4 linked regions of the Schizosaccharomyces pombe genome follow. The gene in region 4 interacts genetically with the main gene of each other region. Each region holds a gene or a part of one and is shown on either strand. Other genes may lie near its edges.

Region 1 (5,939 bases), 2.2 Mb from region 4:
GCAGTAATATCGGCCCATACAGTTCTTACAGTATTTGCAATATTGAGCTGCTGGTTGAACCTTGGAACATATCATGCAAAGCATGTTTTCTACGGCAGGTCGTTCTAAAACATGATCACAAGCATCGTTGTGACAGTGACGGCACGTATACCACTCGTGACAATCGAAACACTGAACCTTGCAATTGCGCATGTAATGAGAACACCCTAAAATTTCTTGCTCTTTGTCATAATAAGTCTTTTCAAGATCAGATGAGCTCAATTGGTTCTCATCAGATTCTTTCTTGTGAGTTCGTCGATATTTTAAATAACCAGACATCAGCATTTTCTACAAAGCCAGTTTAGTAATCTTATTTTCATTTAAATCTCACTTTTATGATTAATTTCATGTACTTACCTGCATAAGTAAGGCCTTTCTCTTCTCACTCAATTGCGACATCGATTGTATTTCGTGGATTTTTTCACGTACGGAATCTTGCTGCGTTAAATCCACTCCTTTCAATATTTCTTCATCTTCTTCATCTTCTTTTTGCTTTTGAACTTCAAGGAATTTCTTATTACAAGAGTCATCAGTCCCAACATCCTCTTCAGTAATATCTTTCAACAGGTCAGGAGGTAGTTCGAATATTGAGGTTAATTCTTGTGCAGCTTCCTCAAAAATCTCAGCGAATTCACGAAGATACTCCGACAATGACATCGACTTTTTTTGTGTTTGTTTTTTTTGTTATAATGATGGTTCTTGATCAAAAGGAGAAGGGGAATGCTTACCTATTCCTCGATCAGTTCAGTGTTGACTTATAGTGTGGTCCAGTGCAATGCGGAATGTGATATCCGTGCCATCACACTATTGTAAAAGCCGTAGATATACTTTGATCAATTTTAAGCTACGCATTCAAATAGTAACTTAATTTTTGCTCTCTTAATTGTTAAATCATCATTACTAAATATTTGAGCAGGCTCTTGAGAACATCTGCACCTTAACATTATTAAAAAGTATATGTAAACAAATTATTATTACTACGGTTGACTGATTAAAAGAAAACCACATCATAAATTCATACGAGTCCTTTGAATTTATCTTTTTTGTACACAGTACCAAGCTCATTTCAAGACTTCAAGCCTTTGATTTCTAAGTTCTTAAAAGGTGAAAGAGTTATAATAGTCAAATAAACCAGTGGAACATTTAATTATCATGAGCTATTAGTGTTCTTATTTCATCTTTTTCGGAAGAAAAAGAGAGCAAAAAATGAAAAAAAGTTGTCCAGCATCAGACAAATTTGTTACTCTGCCTAGTGTTAACAAAATATATAGAAGATAGACCGCAGTAAAGCGAGACAAAGAAATTAAATGAAATATAAAGATTATTTTTTTTAAACATTTGTCCAGCTTGCATAGCTTCGCCTTGACAAAATTTTCTGGCTCATTTATCTTTTAGATTTTCGTTTTTTACTTTCCCATTCATGCCAACTTCCTTGCATGTTTTTCAAACTAAACACATAAGTTAGATAAATATCATTCAACGATAAATTTTATACTTACATGACTGCTGGCTCTGGAGGTGGGCTCTCAGAAGTGAAATACTCATGCATCAAGGTCTCATGAGCTGACGGTCTACAAAAGGGATTTAGGGCAAGGAGTTTTTGGCATAGGTCAATGGCGGCAGGACTTAAAATCTCCTTAAAAGTTTCAACAAAACGCGACTTCTTTTCCTCTACTGGCTTCAGAAGCTCATACCAAGGAAGATTTTTCACCTCAGGCCAAGAATGAACATCAGGGGTACCCATCATATCATAGATAACCTCTAACTGACTGATTTCGTCTCGCCCTTGAAAAAAAGGTTTTCCTGTAAACAACTCCATAACAATACAGCCAGCACTCCATATGTCCACGGCTGTGTCATATGCAGTTTCTCCAAGTAATAGCTCTGGAGGTCGAAACCAAAGGGTAATAACGCGATTAGTGTAGTTAGCCGACTTCGAAGATGTATTAAATCTCGCCAGACCAAAATCTGCGAATTTTAGATCACCATTGTTATTCAGTAATATATTAGAACCTTTAATGTCACGATGAAGCACCCCACGATGATGAAGATAAGCTAATGCTTCAAAAATTTGCTTCGAAAGGTGTTTTATGTTACCGGGAGTAAAATGTAATTGTGAATTTAGTAAGACTCCAGTTAAATCGTGATCCATGTACTCAAATACCATATATACAGAACCTAGAATTTTAAAATGTTAGAACTAGTTATAATTAAACGGTGAATGAGGACAGTATTTAATCGTACTTTTTTCCACCATAATTTCTAATAGCCGAACAATATTTTTGTGACGCAAACGCTGCAAGATTTTGACTTCACGGACAGTAGTTATAGGGAACTAGAAAGTTAGTCAATTTAGTTACGAGCTTGATTTTTATACTTACACCATCCTTTTCCTGCTCCAGCCTTATCCGTTTTAAAGCTACCAAATCTCCTGTGACTGTGTTAATGGCTTTGTATACTTTACCATAAGTTCCTTCTCCAATTTGGTCGATTTTCTCATAGGCAGGCTTTGGATATGTATATGTATAAATTGGGCCGGAAGGAGGAGAAGGAAGAGGAGCTGGAACAGACTCACGGGCCGTGGACGTGAGTGCCATACGTTTCGAAGGAGGTTGATCGAATCGAGATCGGCGTTCATTAGGTATATGAAAGTGAAATTTTCCATGTTTGTTCTCTGGAAAGCCAGAAGACACGCTAGATTTTTTTTGTGTATCGGAGGAAGTAGTTTCATGAGGGATAGAAGGAATAGGGGGAGGAGAAGATGAAGGTCTCCGCGATACCTTTCGACCGTTAAAAGCTGAAGGCTTCATATGTACAGAACTAGGCGGAGACCTTCGAAAAGAAGAAGCTTGCCTTTTTGAATCATTTCTGTTTGCGGACGGTGATATAGGTGAGACGGAGGCGCTAGAAGAGCTTTCAGAGCGTTTGGCAAAGTAATCCTTGGTAGTTAAATTACGTGCTCGTTTTTGACTACCTGAGCGGTAAAAGGAAGGTGATGGAGGTGAGCCAGGTCTAGGACTGAATGCCTTTTTACCCTTTCTCCTTCTAGATTTTCGAGAACGAAAAGGTCTTTCATGCTGTCTTGCTCGGGAAGAATGTGTATCGTTGAGAGGAAATGTTCTTTTCCGCTGTTCTCGAGGATCCTTCGCAGATGAGGATGGCGATATACTAGATGAATTATTTTTGAAAGCATTAGAGGACAGGGTGTGGCCTCCTAAAGACTCCTCATTTGTACCAGAAAGCTGAGACTTTTCTTCGACGGTACGCCGAAAGTGGCTATTTGGTTCTGTGCCTTGTCGGCGATAAATTGTACTCTTCGAGTATGACATTTAACAGGGTTAAAAAAAATAAAAAATAAAAAAAGGAATATTCCTAAACAATGAAGAGAATTACACGCAATCTGTGAGCGAAAATTCGATGGGAATAAAAGAAAAGAAATTAATCGTTAAAGTACGGCCAAATGTGTTTTTATGTAACAATAAATACAACTTCACCGGAAAAAAATCGTACAAGGGAAATAAAAGGTAAGCTGCCAAGACAAGCTAGTTAAATCCAGTGAAATAAATCATGCAATCTAATAAATGAAGAAAGGACAATTTTCAGAGTGGAGATTTTTTTCACCGCTAAACTATGAAGGGTGAACGTGAGACAAACCTTTTCAATCAATAGAGAAATCTAACCAGAGATTTGTGAATAAGTCGGTTGCAGAAATGTTATTGAAACGTAAATGTACAAAATATGAGTATCCACAAAATTAGGAAATACTTTTAAGTATCAACTCTTGCAGCTTAAAAAAATATACCGTAATTTTCTTTTAGTTGCACTCCTGATTTCTTTGATCTATCAATTCAAAATGTACATTGTTAAAAACACCAATTATCTCGAAATTTAATAAAGACAGAAATAAATTAGTTCTTCCTCTTCTATGACAATGAATGAAGTAGTTTGCAAGTCCACTAGTTTAATCAAGGGGCGATAGGTAAACTTCGTTGTTGGTGTGTAGTAGAAATAGAAATAAACGCGCGCGACTCAATTCCTTTACCACACCATACTTAAAATAATAAGTAATTTGAGGCTATGATGAATATCAGCTTGTTTTATAGAAATCAAAGTAAATAATGTATTTATTCAATGCTTAACTCTTAGCCATTTTCTCTTCCCCATTTGCTAAGATGGTCTTTTAACTATTAACTAAGTCCAACCAGTTATTCTCAATTCATATAATATTATTGGATTAAACCTTTTCATCTGAATTATATTAAGTTCATATTTAACATTTTAAAAAGCGATGAAGATAAATCTGGTAATCCGCATGGATCCTTGGAAATTGCCATTGGCGATAGTAAACCAAAGGAATCAAATGTCGACTAGATAAAGGCAAGTCTGAGCTTTTCTATTAGTTTTGAATCGTTTAAAATAATATTATTTATGAGAAATTAATATTCTACCATAAATTAGTGTTTTCCGTGAGTCTAAAGAATACAAAGTAAAATAATCAATAATATGCAACCCTTACATGTAAGGTAGGAGGGAATATATTATTTTACTGTATATAGAAGTTTTACATCCTTTCATAAGTATAACGTTATCACATTGGACGTTCTAGTAGAACGCCAGTCTTCAAAACATTAAAAATTCATATTCAGCCTCTCAAAATCTATTGTGTGCAAATTGTTTGCAAAGCTAAATTAATCAATAATATTTTTTTAAAAATTAAACAAAAATGCTTGGTTTTAGAAAGAACAAGGTTAGGTCAAGAGCTTCAAGATGAATAACTCATGGAATTCTGTTCCTGTTGTTTATTCAATTTTAAGAGTGATGATTTTGACATAAATTTGGTGCAATATTGTTTAAATAATAGTCTCATTAGTTAAACTAAATGTTTAAAAAAAAAAAAAATCATTGCAAAAAGCTAAATGAGCATAATTGATTTTTTATAAGTTTTTTTTTTCAAAAATGCAAACAAATAAATTAAATTTGTTTAATGAAATTAAAAAATAAAAAGGTAGATGATCGTACAAACGGCTACTACCAGTACGATATAATTTTTTATAAAAATTCCAAAACGTAAGCATAATTAATATGAAATAATAAAATATCATAGAAATTCAAGTGTACAAGGATCCTACGACCAAATGTTTGCTTTCATATGTATATATTCAATTCTAAATATTTATATAGCTTACTCAATTTGTGCAATTTTAACAAAGAAACGTGATTTTATTACAATAAATAGGTCATTAAAAAAATAAAAATTTGCACTTATATTCAATTGACTGACATACAAAACGTATTATCAGAGTTAGACTTAAATAAAATTTTCCTTATTCAACGGACATCCTATACTGGTTTCTGTGGATTTATGATATATTTGCATATGGTAAATTCAGCGAGAGAGTCCCTTGCACTCAATTATATTCACCAATAATACTTAATGAATCTTAATCGAAAAGACATGGACGTTGTGCTTTCAAATGCGAAAACCATATCTTCTTATTCAACATTTAATATGGGGTAAAAGTAGAGTACTTCTAATATCTTAAAGCAAAGCAAAAAAAATAAGCTCTTTTATTATGTTATATTTTCGTTAATAAAAATCGCTTCTTCAAACATTTATTCATCACAGGTGCGATATAAGAATCTGAGTTTGTACTCTATAGCAGCTCTTTTAGCTTTCAGTATTTAATTTATTCAAATGCTATATGCATAATTCCTTCATAGTTTGGCTATGTCTTATCGTTTCGTTTAGTATATTTACAATTCCATTTTATATGTGTTAAAGTAATTATCGAAGAAAGAAGACTATGTAGGGAGAAAGTTTATAAACTGTTAATAAATCGAATTGGTGTCAACTATTATTTAGTCTAACATCGGTAATCCACAGCAATAGCTTCAACGAT
Region 2 (6,339 bases), 1.4 Mb from region 4:
AAGCCAGCTATGGATGACGAATTTGATTGGGATTCAGTAATTTGTGTTCTTGAAAGTATCTCTTCACCCATTAAGGACAATGTCTTACCTAAAAAATTCAATATCGATTTAGAGTTGACGACTTTTTGGTATGGGCGATTTTTGTTAGAAGGCATCAACAGTATAAGCTCCGATGAGTTCATTCAGTTATGGGATAATCGTCTTCCGTATCCTTGTAAAGGACTTCCTTCTTTGAATTTATTAAAGGTAGGGCATTTTAGTCAGCTAATGCTAAAACTCTTTAGGGTTATTATTTTCACGATACCCCAAATACGATTCAGTATTTATCAGGAGATCAGTTACCGAGAGAACCAAGTAGGCGGTTTCAATCTTTGTTTCAACTTAAGTCGAAATGGTTATATGAAGAACTTTGGAGTTTCGTTAAAGATCTTGCCTTGTCGAAATCAAGAGTTGAAGCTCTTATATTGAAATATGGGCGAAAACAAACCAGTAGGGACGGTGTTTACATTAATTCTAGAGGGACATGGTAAAACCTTATTTGGCCGGTACTATACAGGTTGAAAACTTGATTTTATTGTACATTATTTTCGACAGGATTATGAAATCAATTAAAATTTTAATCAAACTTAAGTTTTAAATATTAAGACTCTGGGTTTTATCAACAATTTCTGAAACAGATCTAGGAGCAACATCATAATGAAAGACAACGTCGTCTCCAGATCGCCAAATTCGAGCCTTAACAGTTGCCAATGTCATTTTGGGGGTAACGACGACATCTTTGCATCTAAATTGAAGGGATGATACATCCTTTCTTTGTTGGCTAAGCTTGCTATAGCTATAATCCATAATTTTCTGAGCACGAAGCATAGCACTAGCACTTAAACGAGTGTTTTCATTTACAATAAGCGGTAAACCACTTCCAGGAAAAGGCTGAAGAGTAAAATTAACAGTAGGGGCAGTTTTAGAAGGAAATTCGTTTAATAACAGTAATCTTCCAAGCCAAAAGGGCATAATATTTTCAAGTAAGTCAATATCGTCAGCCATGTTCTCAAGAGTAGAACGATATATGTCACGAGAATTACCGGCTTCAGGAGATTCTTCGCTGATGATAACAGTAATCTGACTCGAAAGATTTAACATGGGAAACGTATCATCGTTTGGTGGTTTCATTAAACTAAGAACGGTGTCTTTATCCTTAAAATGTACATATTGTTCATGAAGATCTTCAATCAACTCACCAGTCGTTTTCAGCTCTCGCGGGGTACCAGGTGATGATGCCTCTGAAGTTTGTTGCTTATCTTTAGCTAGTGTGTTATTTTCTGTATTTGCAGCATTATTAACAGTATTATTAGTTTTAGACAATGCTTGCGGAGAAGTTACCGAAGTCCCGGTACTGAAAACGCGGCTTGACGCAGCTCTCTCTACAGAAGCTTTCATAAAATCGGTTTGTAATGATTTGGATGACTTTGATCTTCCAAGTTTTTTAAGTCTGCCCATAAATGAACCTTCACGAGTTACTTTGGGGGGAATTATCTCTTTCGTTCTCACAACAGTAGGGGATCCAACTACCTCAGTATGTGGCTTTCTGTTACGATTTTGCCTGGCGGGGATCGAAAAGTAATCTGGCGCACCCATCATAGAATCTGTATCTGTTAAATTTGTGTAAACGGGGTTGTTTGATGGAATTTGAAGAGACGGACCAGGACTTTCGGGGGGAGGCTCGAGGGGGAATGGGGTAGCGGAATAATCTATAGTAGGAGAAAGTAAAGGTTCTGGAGGAAGAGATAAAGGTGATGGACGAGATCGAATCCTCAATGGAGACAAAGCTGATGGCATATTCACATTTCCCTTTCTTGCTTCTTCTCTCTGGGCTTCTATCTGCTTCTTAGCTTCAGACCTTACAACATCTAAATTTTGTCTAAATTTTAAATCACGATGAAGCTCGGCATCAATAAATTCACGAAATAAATTTTTTAAAATCCACACCCCTAAGTTTATTCTTTTATCAGAAGGGGAATCAACCTTCAGAAGAGGACATTCATCAGCATAAATTTCGGCATCCATGTAGTGATTTTCATCAAGAGTAACAGCAAGAATCCCCAAAAGGCAATTAACAGAAGCCCACCTAGGTATTGCTTGAACAGTATCCAAACTTTGAACAATCTTTTCAAAATCTTCTGACTTATCAAATTCCCCGGCTTGCTTACAAGCAAGTATATCCCACAAACATTTATTGCCGACAGCGTCTTCAGTTAAGACATGCCTTCGATCACCCAACATTCGATATTTTAACAAACCAATACCACCATGAATAACATAATCAGGGGTTTTGGTTAAATTGATGTTAGAATAGCTCTCAGTATGATGCAAATCATAATATATATCCTCAGCATCGTCGTGATATAATGTTGGACAGCTATGATTTCGTATGTCAGAAGAATGTCTCGAGGGACAGTCCGATGATACAGAAAGATGAGATGAGGTATGCTTAGATAATGCTGCTCCCACGTCCTGATTAAAGAGGGGCTCATCCTTCCAACGAAGAATGGAGCCATCACGACTAGTACTCCATATGAAAGATTGACGAGCAACAATGTCAGAGACAGGAGCATCCTGCTTGCATATTGCAGTACAGCTTTGGTTGTTAGGCTGGTTTCTTATATCAGTACGAGTAATCAAGCCTGAGCGATCACCAGCATAAAATACTTTTAAATCTGGGTGCTCAGAATATAATGCCCATACACTGTCTGAATGAGCTATGAAAGAGAATAAACATTTTTGCGCCCTTAGAGACCAAAGCTTTATTGTAGCGTCTGAAGAGGCTGTGAGAATTGTTCTGCCATCATCACTAATTAGAATATCTCGAACATTGTCAGTATGACCGACTAAATCTGTAATCCTTTTCTTGGAAACACAATCCCATAACTGAATGTCTTTTTGTAGTCCGCCGTTAGCAATTATGTTGTTATTCGCTGCCAGCGAGTAAACACCAGATCTTGGACCAACAACAAGAGAACAGTCAGGTAACTGTTCAAATCGCATAACTTCTTGACCTACGTTGTAGTCCCATACAATTATCCTTTTATCCAACCCACCCGAAGCGACTAACGGACTCTTGGAATATTTGGGAATGCTTACGCGCTTTACGTAGTCGGTATGCTCGCCAATTGTTGATAAACAAGAAGCATTCAAGACATGTGGCTTCCAGAGTTTCACCGTTGAATCAGAAGAACAAGATATCACTAATAAATGTTAGAACGTCAATTTCTATAAGGCTACCGCTATTCTCCAGAGATAATTAAATTTTTCAAAGGCTTACCTCCTTCGGAATCATGTGTTAAAGCTATATCATTTACCCAAGCAGAATGAGCCTGGATTTTGGCTAAGGGCTGGGAAGCTTTACCATAATCATACCCGATGTCCCAACCGAAAAGCTGTCCATCTCGGCCACCACTGTAAAGTGCTCTAGTAACTGGTGCTGACCCTTGTTCTGAAAAGTACCGACCTAGCACTAGACAATTAGCATCCAAACGGTGCCCTAGTTGATCGTTACAGGAATCAAGAACATAAGTAACCTTGTACCGTTTCCGAACACTCATGAGAACAATAAATGAATTATTAATCTCTTAAAACAATGCAATTATAAACAAAAAATCCAATTCAAACGTAAAAAATAAAAATTTATATTATATGATGTCGAATTCAATTTATTGAATGAATTCAGGTTCAAAAGTATTGCAGAAAGATAGTGTGTCCTGAGTCTAAAACGCAGCGGATAAATAAACCCTTTTACTTGGAAACAGGAAACAGTAATGGATCCAAATATTTTGGTAGCGAGTACCTATACAAATATATTATATGTTTTGACTTAGCGATGAATAGCAATTCCTCAAATAACTCAGATGTTAAAGAACGGATCCTACTGCTCATTAAAAATGGATGGAAACGATGAACTTCCAAACCATTTACCTACTAATAAGTAGTCCGATCGATATTGGCATTTGATAAAGCAATAATTAGGCGGCTGATGCTAAGAATTGTAGATAACATTATGTTTGAGCTCGACGAAAATAGAATCAAGTTAGGAGATTCGTTAAAGGATTTATCACCACGTCCTAAATGTCGTTAAATTTTGGTAGTACTCCAAGTGATATAGAAAGATGCTAACGTATGTACATTCATTTTTGTAAAAGTTATTTCTATAATGAATGATCAAAATGAGCGGCGTTTGGAAACTCTGTCTGGGCAGGTTTCTTCTTTGAAAAACGTAACCTACGATATTTATTCCCGTGCCAATGACTATACTCGAATTGATCGGGCTGTATGTAATTTAAAAAAAAAAATTTGAGTTTTTACCTAACCTGTATTATTATAGACTGAAAGCTTTTCAGGACTTTCAAATTCTGTTAAAAAATCCACCGAAAATTTCTTCCGTGTGGTTCGAAGTGCCGGACGACGAAGAATCATGACAATGGTGCTGGCAATCGTAGGGAGTATACTAATAATCTACTATGCATCCAAATGGTTTTTTTAACACGACATGAAAGCGAATGCTACATAAAGGAACGGATATAATGACATAACCTCCTGCTTCAAAATTATAAAATGTACAAGCTTTGAATTCTTATAGGCAATAAATTTATCGATGAATATTCTGAAGATAAATTTGAAAATATAAGCGCAGAATTACATGAAATATTCTTAACGAAATACTACTCCTTCCTCGAAATTTCAATAAGTCCACCATAAAAGTAAAAATAATAAAAAATTTAATTATGACTGTATATCCATATTAAGCTTGATATTCCTCACTTTTAGGAAAGAGTTTTAAGCAAAGAGACGCAGTACTAATTGAATAGAATCATGACATTGTGCCACAAACTAAGTATTCATTCACCTTCAACCGGCAAAAAAAAAAAAAAAAAGATCAAAAGGAAGGGCACAAAAATAAATAATAATAAAAATTTTAACACCTTAGCTTCACGTTCAAGCTTTGTGCATGCAGACCATGAGATGTTTGTATTGATTTAGGCTTTTTTAAGAACACAGCATTCAAATGTACGGAAGTACAGGTAATGAATACTCTTTTTCCGATGTTTGCGCAAAAATTTAAAAATAGTGCTCAAAACTTCAATTTCTTCTTGAAAATCCAGATGGAAGCATACGCGCCCGTCTTAAAGCGTCTAGTGCGTTTCGGTGACTTCCTACACGAGCTGATGTGGGCCTATGCGGGGCAGAAGACGATCCATTTGGATTGGAGGCTTGAGAAAGATGAGCTAAAGAAGCACTACTGTGAGATGGGCTTATACCCGAAGAAGAAGATGTGGAGTGTTCGAATGACCTACGACTATCCAAGGATTGTCGTGTACTTTCAGTTGGAGAAACAAAAAATGAAGGAGATGTACGTTGTGGTGGAGTAACGATACCAGGTGATGGAGGACGTGAAAGGTGCTCAATTCGTGCAACATCTTCATAACTAGGTAATGTTGATTGTAAGGGTGATTCTAATGGAACGGCTGATCTTGTTGCTTCCTTATAAGAAGGGACTCTGCTCAGATCTGCCAAACTAGTTTCTGAAGGGTTTCTAGTAATTACAGCAGAGGCAGCTCCACTGGATGGATTAGAGCCTAAACTGAAAGAAGGCGGGAAATCTTCAGGATGATTTGACGGTGAATGTTCGTTGGGGCTCCTTCCTTGCGGTTGTTGTTGTAGAGCCAACTCTGTCAAACCAGCAATGAGTTGTCGCCTATGAGCTTCATTAGAAGCATAGGTGGGCTCCATAGAATCGCGTCGCCTTGGTGTAGTTGCGCCACTAGGGAGAGGTGTATCAAGGTTGGAATAGCTCAAACCATCGTAAAGACGATCATACATGCTGTTTTGATAGCTAGGTAAAGGCTGATTAAAACTTTCAAAATTCTCGCGTAACGACTCTACTTCGGCACGATCGCCAAATAATTGAGGAGGTATCATCAAGACTACAGGTAATGCAGCTCTTAATTCTGATATATGGCCATCAGGATTTCTTAGGGAAACGGAAAACTTTAATTTGTGACGTATTTTAATTCCATCCAAATCACAATCCTGAAGACATTCCACAAGAGAACTTGGTAGTTCCAAGTTCTTTGTAAGTTCATAGTGATCGGAAAACTCCTCCAATTCTTCGGTTTGAAGAGAACGAACGGTCCTGACTTCATCTTTCGATGCCGGTAAACCGTTATATCCATGAGCGACATGCAACGTGATGTATTCTTTCAAGGTTATACTGATTTTTCCAATAGTTAGCCTCTTCAGCAACGGAACTAATACAAAATGAATGGGAATATATGACCCAATTGCATA
Region 3 (4,313 bases), on a different chromosome or scaffold from region 4:
AAAGAGGAAACGGCTGGTAGCCCTCTAAAAATGTTTGGAAGTATACAATGGACTTTCCAGCATCCACATTCTCCGGAATAGGTAGTACTGCTAAGTCACCATACGTTCGCTGCTCTTCGCGAATGGTAGCTAATTCCTGCTCATTCTCAGGTAAACCAAGGATAAATCTAACATCCACAGTATCATTTACGGCAAACTCCTTAATATATTCATTATAGTCGGTACGTAAAAAGTTACGCCTATCCACGTTCTTAGCTTGACTAAAAATCCCCAAATACAGTTTGAAAGGTCTGTCGTTCGCATGGGCAAGCGATTCATTTTGCTTAATGAAGGGATCTAAAAACAAATTCTCTACGTAGGCGAGTGAATGTTCTTCGGCCTGTAGACGATTTAGTACAAGAAAAGCAAAGGAAAAAGTAGCAACACCGGCAATTAGCACGTAAAGAAAAATTTTTTTTTTAGAATTTGAAAACATAGTGAAAGAGTTTAATTAAACGAGCACGTTGCGCCAGGAGGTCAATTAGAGAGACGTGAATATTAATTGTCCCTTTGAATAAAAGAATAAAATAAAACCAAACTTAAAGATCGTTGAGAATTAAACAAAAGACTCCTTGAATATATGAGCCAGCAAACAGAATATAACTCTGAAAGGAGTATAATGTTTGGTTCTGAAAACAAAGCTGTGCTTGGTGCCATATTCACGTCCACCATAAATACGCAGTCATAATGTAACCAGAAGAGCAGCTACTCAAACCCTTAATGCCCTCATAGCGTTGGTAACTATAAATGCGTTAACTATATATACCGGGTTGCTACATTTCTTTATCTCAGAGTCCATTAACCAAAGGATTCATACATATACAATTTTTCTATTTTGTTTATTTTTATGAATAATTTAATAGGAGATACTCGTTAAATGAACTTAGTTTTAGTATTCAGTTTCCTCTATAGGTGTTTGAAATTTTTTCTAGACTGTCATGTTACTACTATTTTTTAAAATTAGATTCCTTGCAAAATGTCAAGGAAGCAAGCAGATTTGGCGTACATTAGCAATGTTAGATGTGCAACACGATAGAAGCAAGTACTTTGAATGAGCCCTTGTCTTGGCTTAAGTTATTAACATGCGTTAACGCCATTAATATATAAAATATAAGGAACAACTCAACATCACAATGAATAAAAAAAATGTTAAATCTGAGTTATGCATATTACAGATAATGTCATCAATTTTTTTAAATGCTGTGAACCTAATATCGAAGTGAATAAAAATAACCTTTAACTAATACCTCCTAAAAAATCTGAGTAAAACGTTCCAGTTTTAACCATTGTACTCTAACACCAAATGACGCTCTACCACTGTTTCTTTCCCAACTTCCTCTTCTCCTTCAAATCGAAGTTTACATGATCCATCAGGCAGAGTGCGAATGACTTCTGCCCGATAAAACGTAGTAGTTTCAGGATATCGAGCTAAAACATTTGTTTTTGGGCTTATTGGGGGTAAAGGAGTTCCTTTTGCAGGAATTTGTATAAGATGATTAGCTGTAGTTTTATAAATTTGACCTGCATTACCGTCATCATCCGGTTCTGGATCCTGCACTTCAAATCTATGGTTTTGTTAATATACTGGTAAAAAAATATTATCAACATATAAGCTTAGAAGTAAATTTGAACTCGCGACTGACAATATTTGCTTTTGAAAACTCACCTCTGTTTTGCTCCTTCTCCAGTCACTTTAATAATGATACATTGAATCCAATCACCTCCCTCGTTATGCCTCGTGTATGGTAACTTGAAAGCTACAGACATGCCAGGTGTAAAGGTTACTGTATTTGCTGTAAAGCTTGTTCCTCGGTTTCGACGACTTCTCGTCAAAGGACTATTTGTAATTACAGGTTTTTCATTGGCTTTTTCGAGTACATTAATAATCATCTCAAGAGATTGCATTGTATGCTCCAATTCTTTTTTCTGTTCTTCAGAGGTTTGAATTCCCGCGTCACACGCTTTAATTCTTTCTTCAATTGGATTATCGTCGCCATCAACCGTTTTATAACATTCTTCTTGTTTTATTAAACTAGACCGAATGGGATTTAGGCTTTCATGAAATTTAACCCACATGGATGTCACATCCTCTTCAGCATTTATGGGGCGTACCATAATATCCTGTAACTGATATTCTCAAACAACACTTTTCATCATCCAATTTCCTTTGGTAGGTGCTAACTCACTTACTAGATTGATTTGCATGATACTATCAGCTATGCAAATTACTTTATTACAAATTTCATTAACACTCGATATTGTATTTACCGTATCGTTGCTGCATTAGGTTACGTAGTTAACTATTCACTTAAGTCATGGAATACTGTCTGTTAACGAAGTTCGTTAAACGATTCTCGTTTAGCAACGACTCTAAATACTGTATGTCGTATATTTCCTGCTAGAATACATCAATTCCGATTGTTATACTGTTGAAACTACAAATCCCAAAAAATTCAATATCACAATGAAAGCTCTAGTTCGAATCATGTTTTGCTTCAATCCTAGCTAGCACTGTTAAAGTATAGATATAAGAAAGGACAGCTTTGTTGATAGACTAGTTAAATTAAAATAAAAACAGTTAAACGTAATTAATATATATAAGTTTACGTTATTCAAAACATTTCAAAAAATGTGCTACTCTTTGAAGTACACGTCAGTAAGGAAACACGTTGATAAAAAGCCAGTATTCAAACATAGACAGTGTTAAATTATCACTGGAGATGATGATGTATGGAATACATGTCTAAATTTAAGCATCATAGTTAGAACGACAAAATTGATAGAAATTGAATAGCAGTGTAAAACTTGTTGAAGCGCGCACACAAACAGTAACCTGTAACAACAAGTCCTATAATCAAGCTTCTATATTGACTTCAGTAGGCAGCGAGATTTTAAGACACATCTAGGTAAATTTAAAAACGCTTTATTCAAGCTGAACATAATTACCAGGAAATTGACCTTGTGCACCGTTAAGTCGGCCAATCCACCATTCCTAAAATATATATTAGTAAAGTCCTTGTTTAATAAGAAAAAAATGAAAATTTAAGTTTAAGTACTTACATTTTGATTATCAGTACGTGAAACAACTTCGATACGATCGCCAGCATGAAAAGATAAATCTCCGGCTGCTTGGGCAGCATAATCATATAAAGCAACAACATGCTCTGCGGCGGGAGCCGCAGCAGGTGCAGGCGCTGGTGGAGGTACGGGAACTGCGGCTGCAGCTGCTGCTACCGGTGCAGCAACAGGTGTGGTCACTGCCGCAGCAGCAGGTTGAGGCATAACTGGAGGGGGAGGAAAGGCCGCTTGAGGGTATTGAGCAGCTGCTGCTTCAGTTGTAGTAGTGGTCGTCTGAACAGTTTGATAACCTGCACTTGGGGTAGAATAATCGGAAGCTCCGGCAACCGATGGCGTTGAGTATGGGGGTGGAATATCCGTAGCTGTCGAAGAGGAGGGTTCGGCTGCTGCTTCTTCACGCTTTGACGAAAAGGAAGAAGAAGAAGAAGCAGTTGCATCTTTACCACCCGGTCCCATACCCGGTCGTTTATACGTCGGTTTAGCGGTCTTAAATTTAGTAATCGTCAAAGCCTCTGCGCGATCTTTAACATCGCCGCGTCTTCTTTCGTACGATTCCAAAATATCGGTATTGAAATCAAAGTACTGAATTTCGCAGTGACTCATCTTTTCATAAAGAACGTAATAGACATTTAATTGCATATAGTAAAATCCTTGGAATAAGGGAGCAATGAAGCTCTGAGCCAATGCAAATAGTTTAGGTAACTCCTCCTTCAGCATTTCATTATAATATTCATATTCTTGGGAAGATTGTTCAAAGGCGGTTTCAGCTTCATAAAGCTTCTTCTCATCTTTAAGGCTTTTATCCTTCTTTTCCTGAAGTTTCTTGAAAGATGAACGATGACGATCATAATCCAGCTGCTTATGATCGCGTTTCAACAAAAGCTTATCTACATCCTTAACAATCTTGAGCAGTTCACCAGTTGGATTGACAATGCGAGTGTTGATAACATCCATTTCAGAAGCCAAATTCTTTTGGAGATCGTATACAATTTCCTTGTAAGCCTCGGCAGCCTCAATACCTTCCGCATTGCCTTCTTGCTCATACGATTCAGGATCCGAAGCACGCCCACTAATAGGCTTGTAAATTTCAATACAAGCATCGGCAAATCCAATTTGATGATTCAATAACCCATTAATAGCATCAGTATACTTTTTGGCGTCTTCAGCCAGCTTTTTCGCTTCCGTTTCTAAAGACT
Region 4 (7,128 bases):
TCCAATGTGCAAATATCCACTAGGTTCGGGAGGAAATCTGGTGACCACCTTACCATCAATGGCATCAGGAAGACCGATCTCGTAGTTAGGACCAGAAGATTTTTGTTTTTTGCTAATATTAACTGCCTTGGTGAATTCTTCCATGGTGACACTCACGGCATTTTGAGAATCCATAAACTTGTACCAACGAGCAAGGTTGAAATACTGGCCAGTGCGTACGGCACCAGCTGCCATGTTGTTTGATTTTAAGGCACCCCAAATAGAAAAATCAGCAGAGGTGAGGGAATAACCCACAAAAAGAGAGCGCATAATTAAATGGTCGTCTAACTGAGCAAGAAGTGAAGAAAGCTCAAGAAAGTTGTGGTTACCAGCTAAGGCAGAGGCAGTTTCCACCCAACTCTCAACCAAAGAACGATCGTTTTCGCCAATGAAAAGTTTAGGATAGACTTGAGAGAAAGTCTGTAAAGCCAACTTGGAACCGAATACAGGAGAATCAGAGCCGTTAAGCTGAATGGAGACGTTCGATTCCTTGTTTTGTTTGTCTAATAAAGCAACGTCCTCATACTTGACGGAAATGCTTCCTGCACCAGACAGATTCACATAATTTGCACATGCAACTGCACCATAAGCAATGGGCTTTGCTTTTAATGCAACACTAACTGACATTTTCCCAAAACCGGTGGTGAAAATTGTCGAACTTGGTTCGTGGTAAGTTGGTGTCGAAGTGATTTTTAGGGTATTAGTGTATGGTAAAGGTATGTTTGCAAAACACTAAAAATCCAAACCAGAAAAATTCGAACGCAGTACGAAGTTGACCGAAAAAAAAGGATTCTATTTAAGTACAAATTAGATTATAGATAAGGAATTCAAGTTCATGTCTGACCTTGATTAATTTTCTTTCCAGCATTTTTCGCTAATCTGCTAATTTTATACAGATATGAACCGAAACCGAGGGTTTCTCGTTATACTGTTTACCATTTTCTAACGTAAATCGGTATACCGATAAGAAAAGAGAATAGATACATAATAACAGAGTGGAGTTGAAACAATCAGAAGAATGGAAGAAAAGTCATTTTTTTGTTAATAATTACCTGTTAATCAGCTATAGGATTAAAGGAAAAAGTAGGAAAAATCATCTACCAAGTTAATTAATAAGATCTTTATCATCTCATTTATTTAGTTATCTTGCTATTGACAATTTTGACGATATCAAATACATATATGACATTTCAAGTACATTGAGAGTAGAAAAAGAGCACCTTTTATAATTGAAATTATTATAAATTGGAAAAAAATCTCACTTCAAAATAGATAGCTGCTTTGTTTATTTTACAGAAATAGCTAAAATTTGAATACAGCCATTTATAATGTACTTCATTGTATATAATATAAGGAACTCTAACATATCACGGCATAGTCTAGCGATTCATCTACTGAACATGTAAATATATCATTGTTTGCTTCGACAGATGTCTCATGTGGTTTTGCCGCGTGAGTTATACAGTAGATGAATTGTTTACAGCTATACAGTTTCCTTGTTTTTTTTATAACTGAGAAACCTTTGAGGTTTATCTGATGGCACGGTAATTATGAGATAACGAGTAGAAACCAAAAACTCACAAACATTTAAATGCAGTTCAGCAGGTAGCTGAAGTCTCTTTGACAAGCTGTATTTCTTCCTTAATTCTCATTTCGTGATGGTAATCAATTGTTTTCCTTACCCTGCCTCCTAACAAATTGCAGTTTGCTAAAAAGTGTTTACCAAATAGTGAGTCATAGTGCATTGACTGTAAATGTGAAAATTCGTCGTAATGCTAACGATCATTAAATGTACGGTAGAGCTAACAAATTAACTCGAGCAATAATAAAATTTCGCAATATGAAATAATGCATCTTTTGGAAACTTAGCGCGCGAATAAAGTATACACATGGACGGGTCTACTAGTACCTAACGATTATCGATGAAGCTGCAGCGTTTGTCAAGAGCACTTTACGGTTTTCGCATCTAATTAGAGAATATGGGAGGCCAAGAGTCAAAGTAAGTAACATTGCGAAATTTTCGTATGAGCTAACTGTTTAGATTGGCATTTCAGCGAGGAATTGCAAGATTAGCTTCTCAACCGGTACGGTTTGTGTTTATGGGTGGATGATACGCTAAGAGAACATTGCAAGCTAATTCTAGTAGGATATACCGTTGGATGATGAAGTTTGGGTTTCTGTATGAAATTTTTTTTATTAACTTGTGTAAGACGCTTTTACTAATGTATTCGTTTTTATGTTTATTAGCTTTGGAGTGTACCTGAAAGTTGTCCAGAAGTTTACGATTTTTTTCCCCCAGGTCTCATTCGTGAGATGAGGGATCATGCCTTTGTAAACCTTGAAAAATTGCTGCTTGTATTGACATCTCGTTTGTTTGCGTTGAAAAATGACAAAAAGTTTCCAAATCCTGAAACGGCACCAGCGAGTGAAGCGTTAAACTGCATTCGCCTACTTACTAGAATCATTCCTTTTTTGAATGAGAAACTCGATTTAGAAGAATGGCATCAAAAGTTTTGGTGGAGCCTTAGAAAGAAGAGAAATTTACCAAAGGAAAATTCCGAATTAGACCTTAGTAATTTTCAAGACGATCTAGATTTTGAAAATTCCATCTCCCAAAAGAACGAATTCTCGCAGAAGTCTCCTTCAGTCCCATTATCTCCTGTGAGCACCTTTCCTGCTTCTTCCATCTCCCTTGATGCTTCTTCAGACGTCTCTGCCGCTGACGTATCAGTAGGTGGTTCTAGCACAATCAAAGAAATTGGCTCTATTGAAGAAACTTTTACTCATGAAAAAACTTTAATGGAGGAATTGCTGGACACCGTCTTTCGTTTGCTTTTTTGCAGAGGCTTTACGCTTCCTCTTTCAAGTCCTGAGCAATATGCATACATTATATGGTAAGTATATATGTATATATATATATATTTTTTTTTTGTTTTTCGTTTGCTTTTTTATATTTGGTTAAATGCAATGTGTTAACTAATCACTTTTGCAGGGAAAATGGAATTGGTACAACAGAAACCCAAGAGAAAACCACAAAGGAACTTGCGTTTAATCGCATTGAGGTTCTTCGTTTGCTGTTAGTATTGATTTCTAAAAGGCTGTATCGATCTTCTGAAGTAGCTTCTCACACCCTTACTTATTTGACCTGTGTAGCAAATAAGCAGCTTATACTAGTTTTTCTTTATTCCCTTATAAATACTGTAAGTTTTGGCTTAAAATTTACCTTTTTTTGTTGTACAACTAACTTAGTTTTTAGACTTTGCGACTTAGACCTGATAGCTGGAAGGCTTCGTATTCAACTCTAGTACCTTATAATGATTCTAGCATTGCACTCTCAAAACTTACTTCTCAAATCCTTTTGCTTTTTTTAGATCACACCCCTCATGAAACAACAGTCGAATACTTCAGACAGAGACTCAATCTTTCTCCTGGCGCTGCTATCGAAAATCAGTATAGATTATATTTTTCTCGACTTCAATTACAAGCTGATTATGAATTTTTAGTTAACGAACTATATCGGCTATTGAATGCACCAGTTTCCGCTATCTCTGCCTATATTTCAATTGTACAAAAGCCTAATATCGCGTTTCCGGAAATTATTTTGTTTCTTTGGCAAGCAATTTTATATAATAAAGTATGTTCAACGGTCCTTTTATATATATTACATTATTTGTACAGTTGTTTAATTTATGTTGTTACGCGTTCATTATATTTGCTAACTAATTTAAAACAGCGTTTCCGAGCATTTTTGATCACTTCTCCTTATGCTACGGAGTTTTTAACTTCTATTCAGTTTTATGCACTTAGATATCGTGAAGACAATGAACATTCCGGCCTTGTTCGCATTTGCCTTTTTATCGTTCATTATTTATCATGCGAGAAGGTTCTTTGTGAAAAACTAAATAGAAACTGTATGAATGCACAATCATTGATGTCTTCCCTTGGGTTCTCAGTCCCACCAATGTCTTATGCAGAGTTTTTGATTATCGTAAGATTCACGATTAATTGTTTATTTTAATTTTATTACTTACGCCTTCCAGTCTAGCTTTCATATTTCAGCAGTGAAGAGATCTCCGTTTAGCAGTTTATCTCCTGTTATATTGTTGACCATATGCAATATTGCACCATTTGTTGAAAACCTAAGTTTCGTTACGTGTGCCAAATTAATGCAACTCTGTTCATCTCTTTCATCTCCTCGGTTTCTTTTTCGTAATCCGCGCAATCATCTGCTTCTTGAATACCTGTTACAGGCTATTTCTAGTATAGTTGAAAACAAGTTTTCTCAAAACCCTAATCTCAGTTATTCTATTATTCGCCTCCAGCAAGTTTTTTTGAATCTTAATTCTATGAAACTTCCTGCCGTTGCTCAGACTAAATCACAGCCTTTAGTGGCCCTCAATTCGGAAGGAAGTAGTGATTTTGAATCTAAATCATCCGATAACACCTCCTTAGATGGAACACCACTCCAAAATACTGACTTTAAAAAAGTTGCTACCGTTGAAGATGATTCACCTTTCGATGAATTAGATAAATTTTCCTCCCCTTTTAGTAGCAGTAGTTCACGCGGTGGCTTATCACATATTTCGAGTAGAAATGTTTCGATTTCTGTCCCGACAGTCCTTCAAGATGTATTCTCAGATTCTCCATTGGTTCTGTCTAGAAAGTTGCGTGGGAAAATACCGGAAAATGTTTCTAGTTCAGAACTTATTAAAAAATGTGCATCCAATCCGTTTGGAAAAGATTTAGAAATTGACTCAAATTTGTTTGCACCTTCCAACTCGTGGTTTAATTCTTGGCATTCAAGACTTGAATTGGATTCTATTCTAGCCATTATATCTCAGTTTTCTCTACCTGTATACAAGAAAATGAATGAAGAATTATCAACTACTGACGAAGCTGTTAAACTATTAGCTAACTCTGTGCTAAATGATGTACATCCTCGAGTTCCCAATTTTCGCTACTTTATTTGGAGTGTCCCTATGAATAATTGGTTTCAAAGTCTTGTTTGGCTTTATACTTTGTCATTTGATGAAAAAGGTTTAATGGCTACTCCCTCTTTATTTACAACCTCTAAAGTGTACAAACAACATGGAAATATCATGAAAGTTGCATCTCCTGAAAACAGTTCTAACTCAATGGAGAATGCCACAAAATCTATACTTGACAAACTCGATTTGCTGTATTTACAGCTGCCAAGTAGTGTCAACCACGATTCCAGTTTACGCAACAAGTGATTCTTAAATTCAATGCGTAAATTAAAGTATACTTTTGTCCTAAAAAATATTTGAAGAAAACCCTGCATGCATGTTATGGTATCTTACTTTGAAAATTTATTGATTAAATTGTTCACTAAAAAATTATCTTGGAGGATTTGCATCCACATACTGCCATCATTTAATTATATACTGATGACCAGAATCTTGCCTTGCTAATTTTGATTTTTGAACTTTTCGATTTGTTTTCATTCTATTAATTAACTAAAAACTGGCTTGGAGAATCTTCTGCTCCAACCTTGTCACTAGCTTTAAAAAAGTCTTTCGAAGTTTGATTTGGAAAGTTGGTGTTTGAAAGTCAATCTCGTATACTTTAGAAAGACCCACCTTTATGAGAGAAACGATCCACTGATGCTAATTCATTACATGTATCCAAATCAATGTATAACCTTATATAGCAATGAATTGGTTGCTAAAAAATTCTTAGCTTTATTTCGCTACACTTATAAATCTGTTTACTATATAAAATAAAAAATCCAATTTCAAAAGTTTTGAGTCCCAATTTTTTGGGTAACGAGGATTACTTCATAAAGACCTTAGACCTTTCCTTTATTTTTTCCACAAAACTATTTATATTCATGAGTTTGTTTTGTAATTGCAATGAATAACTAGCTTGTCATTTACGAAAATTGCATATCAAAAGTATTTGAGTAAAATCGATATCCTGTTTGGCATAATGGTTCAATTTATAAAAAATTCGTGTGGTTAAGAGTAGAAATATATTTTCGATTTTGCGAAATGCTTAATATGCGAAGATATTGTATTTGAGTACTTCAAAAGAATACAACGCACAGTAAACCTTTTCTTTCAATAAATTATCAGGTAGAGGTGGCCTTATTACTGTTTTTTAATAATTTTTATGCTTAAATACCTATTGGAAGCAAGAAGTAATTATGATTACCAAAATTGACTCACTTCCAAAGGACCTAATTCGCAAAGTTGAAAATGGTGAAAAGTTGTTGCCAAATCAAGAAATCGTTTATTTTGAAGAAAAAACAGTCCCCTATAAAATTAGAAGTGATGAGGAAAGTTTTCCTTTGGGCAAATTGATAACTTTATTAGTAACTTCACAGAGCTTTATCCTTTTTGATGAAGAACAGAATTCTGGCTGGAAAATTCCATATGAAACCATTACTCTTCATGCGAAACAAAGCAAGGATAAGCCATATGTATATGTTCAATTAGAGGGTGAAGCCATTCGACCCTTGCTAGATCACATTCTTAAATTTGAACGGTCGTCAGGAACATTGCATGAAGCTCCTTCTACCGAAGATGAAAATGAATTCACAGATGATTTTTTAGAACTAACATTATATGTTACTGATGTTGATTCATGTTACCAGGCTCTTTGTACTTGCCAATCTCTACATCCGGACACTTTTTCCTCAGATAATGATGTTGAAAACGCGAGTATGGGAAACCCTATGTCCTTATTTTTTGATCCAAATCACCAGTGGGTTACGGCTGAAAACGTAGATACCTCAGCTTGTGATAACAGATTTGATTCTCCGGAATCGCCTGTTCTGAAATGGCATCGCACAGAGTAACTTTCATAATGTTGTATTCTAACGTTTCATTCATACTTTTTAAAAAGTAGTTTATGATAATAAATAAATATAAACAGGCTTCTAAATTTACTAGATAAAATATCATTACACATTTCACTAATTTGTACAAAATTAATCATGTAATACATATTACAAATGACAAGACTGTAGACTAAATTTCCCATGCAATAACATTTTAATCATTATTTATACTGGAGAGGAATTGCAATAGCATGTGAGGCGGAAAGATGAACATGCTTTACGGTAAC

Evidence for each region.
Region 1: mutations in ftp105 (region 4) and lsk1 together harm fitness more than expected from each alone (negative genetic interaction), as found in Schizosaccharomyces pombe (2 studies listed by BioGRID).
Region 2: mutations in ftp105 (region 4) and bun107 together harm fitness more than expected from each alone (negative genetic interaction), as found in Schizosaccharomyces pombe (2 studies listed by BioGRID).
Region 3: mutations in ftp105 (region 4) and sgf29 together harm fitness more than expected from each alone (negative genetic interaction), as found in Schizosaccharomyces pombe (2 studies listed by BioGRID).

What each region holds. Positions count from the first base shown.
Region 1 is NC_003424.3:3,951,900-3,957,838, reverse strand, and holds lsk1 (P-TEFb-associated cyclin-dependent protein kinase Lsk1), read right to left. Parts: upstream 4,044-5,939; 5' UTR 3,369-4,043; coding exon 2,421-3,368; intron 2,375-2,420; coding exon 2,284-2,374; intron 2,269-2,283; exon of another isoform or gene 2,218-2,268; coding exon 1,539-2,217; exon of another isoform or gene 1,488-1,538; coding exon 1,424-1,487; 3' UTR 970-1,423; downstream 1-969. Other genes in the region: SPOM_SPAC2F3.16 (ubiquitin-protein ligase E3), read right to left, coding at 1-327, 397-696. UniProt on the Schizosaccharomyces pombe protein: Catalytic subunit of the CTDK-I complex, which hyperphosphorylates the C-terminal heptapeptide repeat domain (CTD) of the largest RNA polymerase II subunit. Involved in RNA polymerase II transcriptional elongation and pre-mRNA 3'-end processing.
Region 2 is NC_003424.3:412,666-419,004, reverse strand, and holds bun107 (WD repeat-containing protein), read right to left. Parts: upstream 4,015-6,339; 5' UTR 3,600-4,014; coding exon 3,320-3,599; intron 3,243-3,319; coding exon 634-3,242; 3' UTR 531-633; downstream 1-530. Other genes in the region: Ctf18 RFC-like complex subunit Dcc1, read left to right, coding at 1-246, 285-530; SNARE protein Sft1, read left to right, coding at 4,205-4,321, 4,376-4,534; rod1 (arrestin/PY protein 1), read right to left, coding at 5,131-6,339. UniProt on the Schizosaccharomyces pombe protein: Required for the ubp9 recruitment to septa and cell tips but also for its enzymatic activity at these specific locations.
Region 3 is NC_003423.3:2,417,828-2,422,140, forward strand, and holds sgf29 (SAGA complex subunit Sgf29), read right to left. Parts: upstream 2,219-4,313; 5' UTR 2,155-2,218; coding exon 1,706-2,154; exon of another isoform or gene 1,605-1,705; coding exon 1,319-1,604; 3' UTR 911-1,318; downstream 1-910. Other genes in the region: pvg3 (galactosylxylosylprotein 3-beta-galactosyltransferase Pvg1), read right to left, coding at 1-475; BAR adaptor protein Hob1, read right to left, coding at 2,963-3,031, 3,100-4,313. UniProt on the Schizosaccharomyces pombe protein: Chromatin reader component of the transcription coactivator SAGA complex. SAGA acts as a general cofactor required for essentially all RNA polymerase II transcription.
Region 4 is NC_003424.3:1,784,420-1,791,547, forward strand, and holds ftp105 (Ubp5 interacting protein Ftp10), read left to right. Parts: upstream 1-1,950; 5' UTR 1,951-2,018; coding exon 2,019-2,038; exon of another isoform or gene 2,039-2,080; coding exon 2,081-2,123; exon of another isoform or gene 2,124-2,185; coding exon 2,186-2,218; exon of another isoform or gene 2,219-2,286; coding exon 2,287-2,933; intron 2,934-3,031; coding exon 3,032-3,239; intron 3,240-3,295; coding exon 3,296-3,673; intron 3,674-3,772; coding exon 3,773-4,027; exon of another isoform or gene 4,028-4,079; coding exon 4,080-5,273; 3' UTR 5,274-5,936; downstream 5,937-7,128. Other genes in the region: gus1 (glutamate-tRNA ligase), read right to left, coding at 1-666; protein saf5, read left to right, coding at 6,206-6,859; mrpl1 (mitochondrial 54S ribosomal protein uL1m), read right to left, coding at 7,063-7,128. UniProt on the Schizosaccharomyces pombe protein: Required for the localization of ubp5 to the Golgi apparatus. Involved in detoxification of cadmium ion.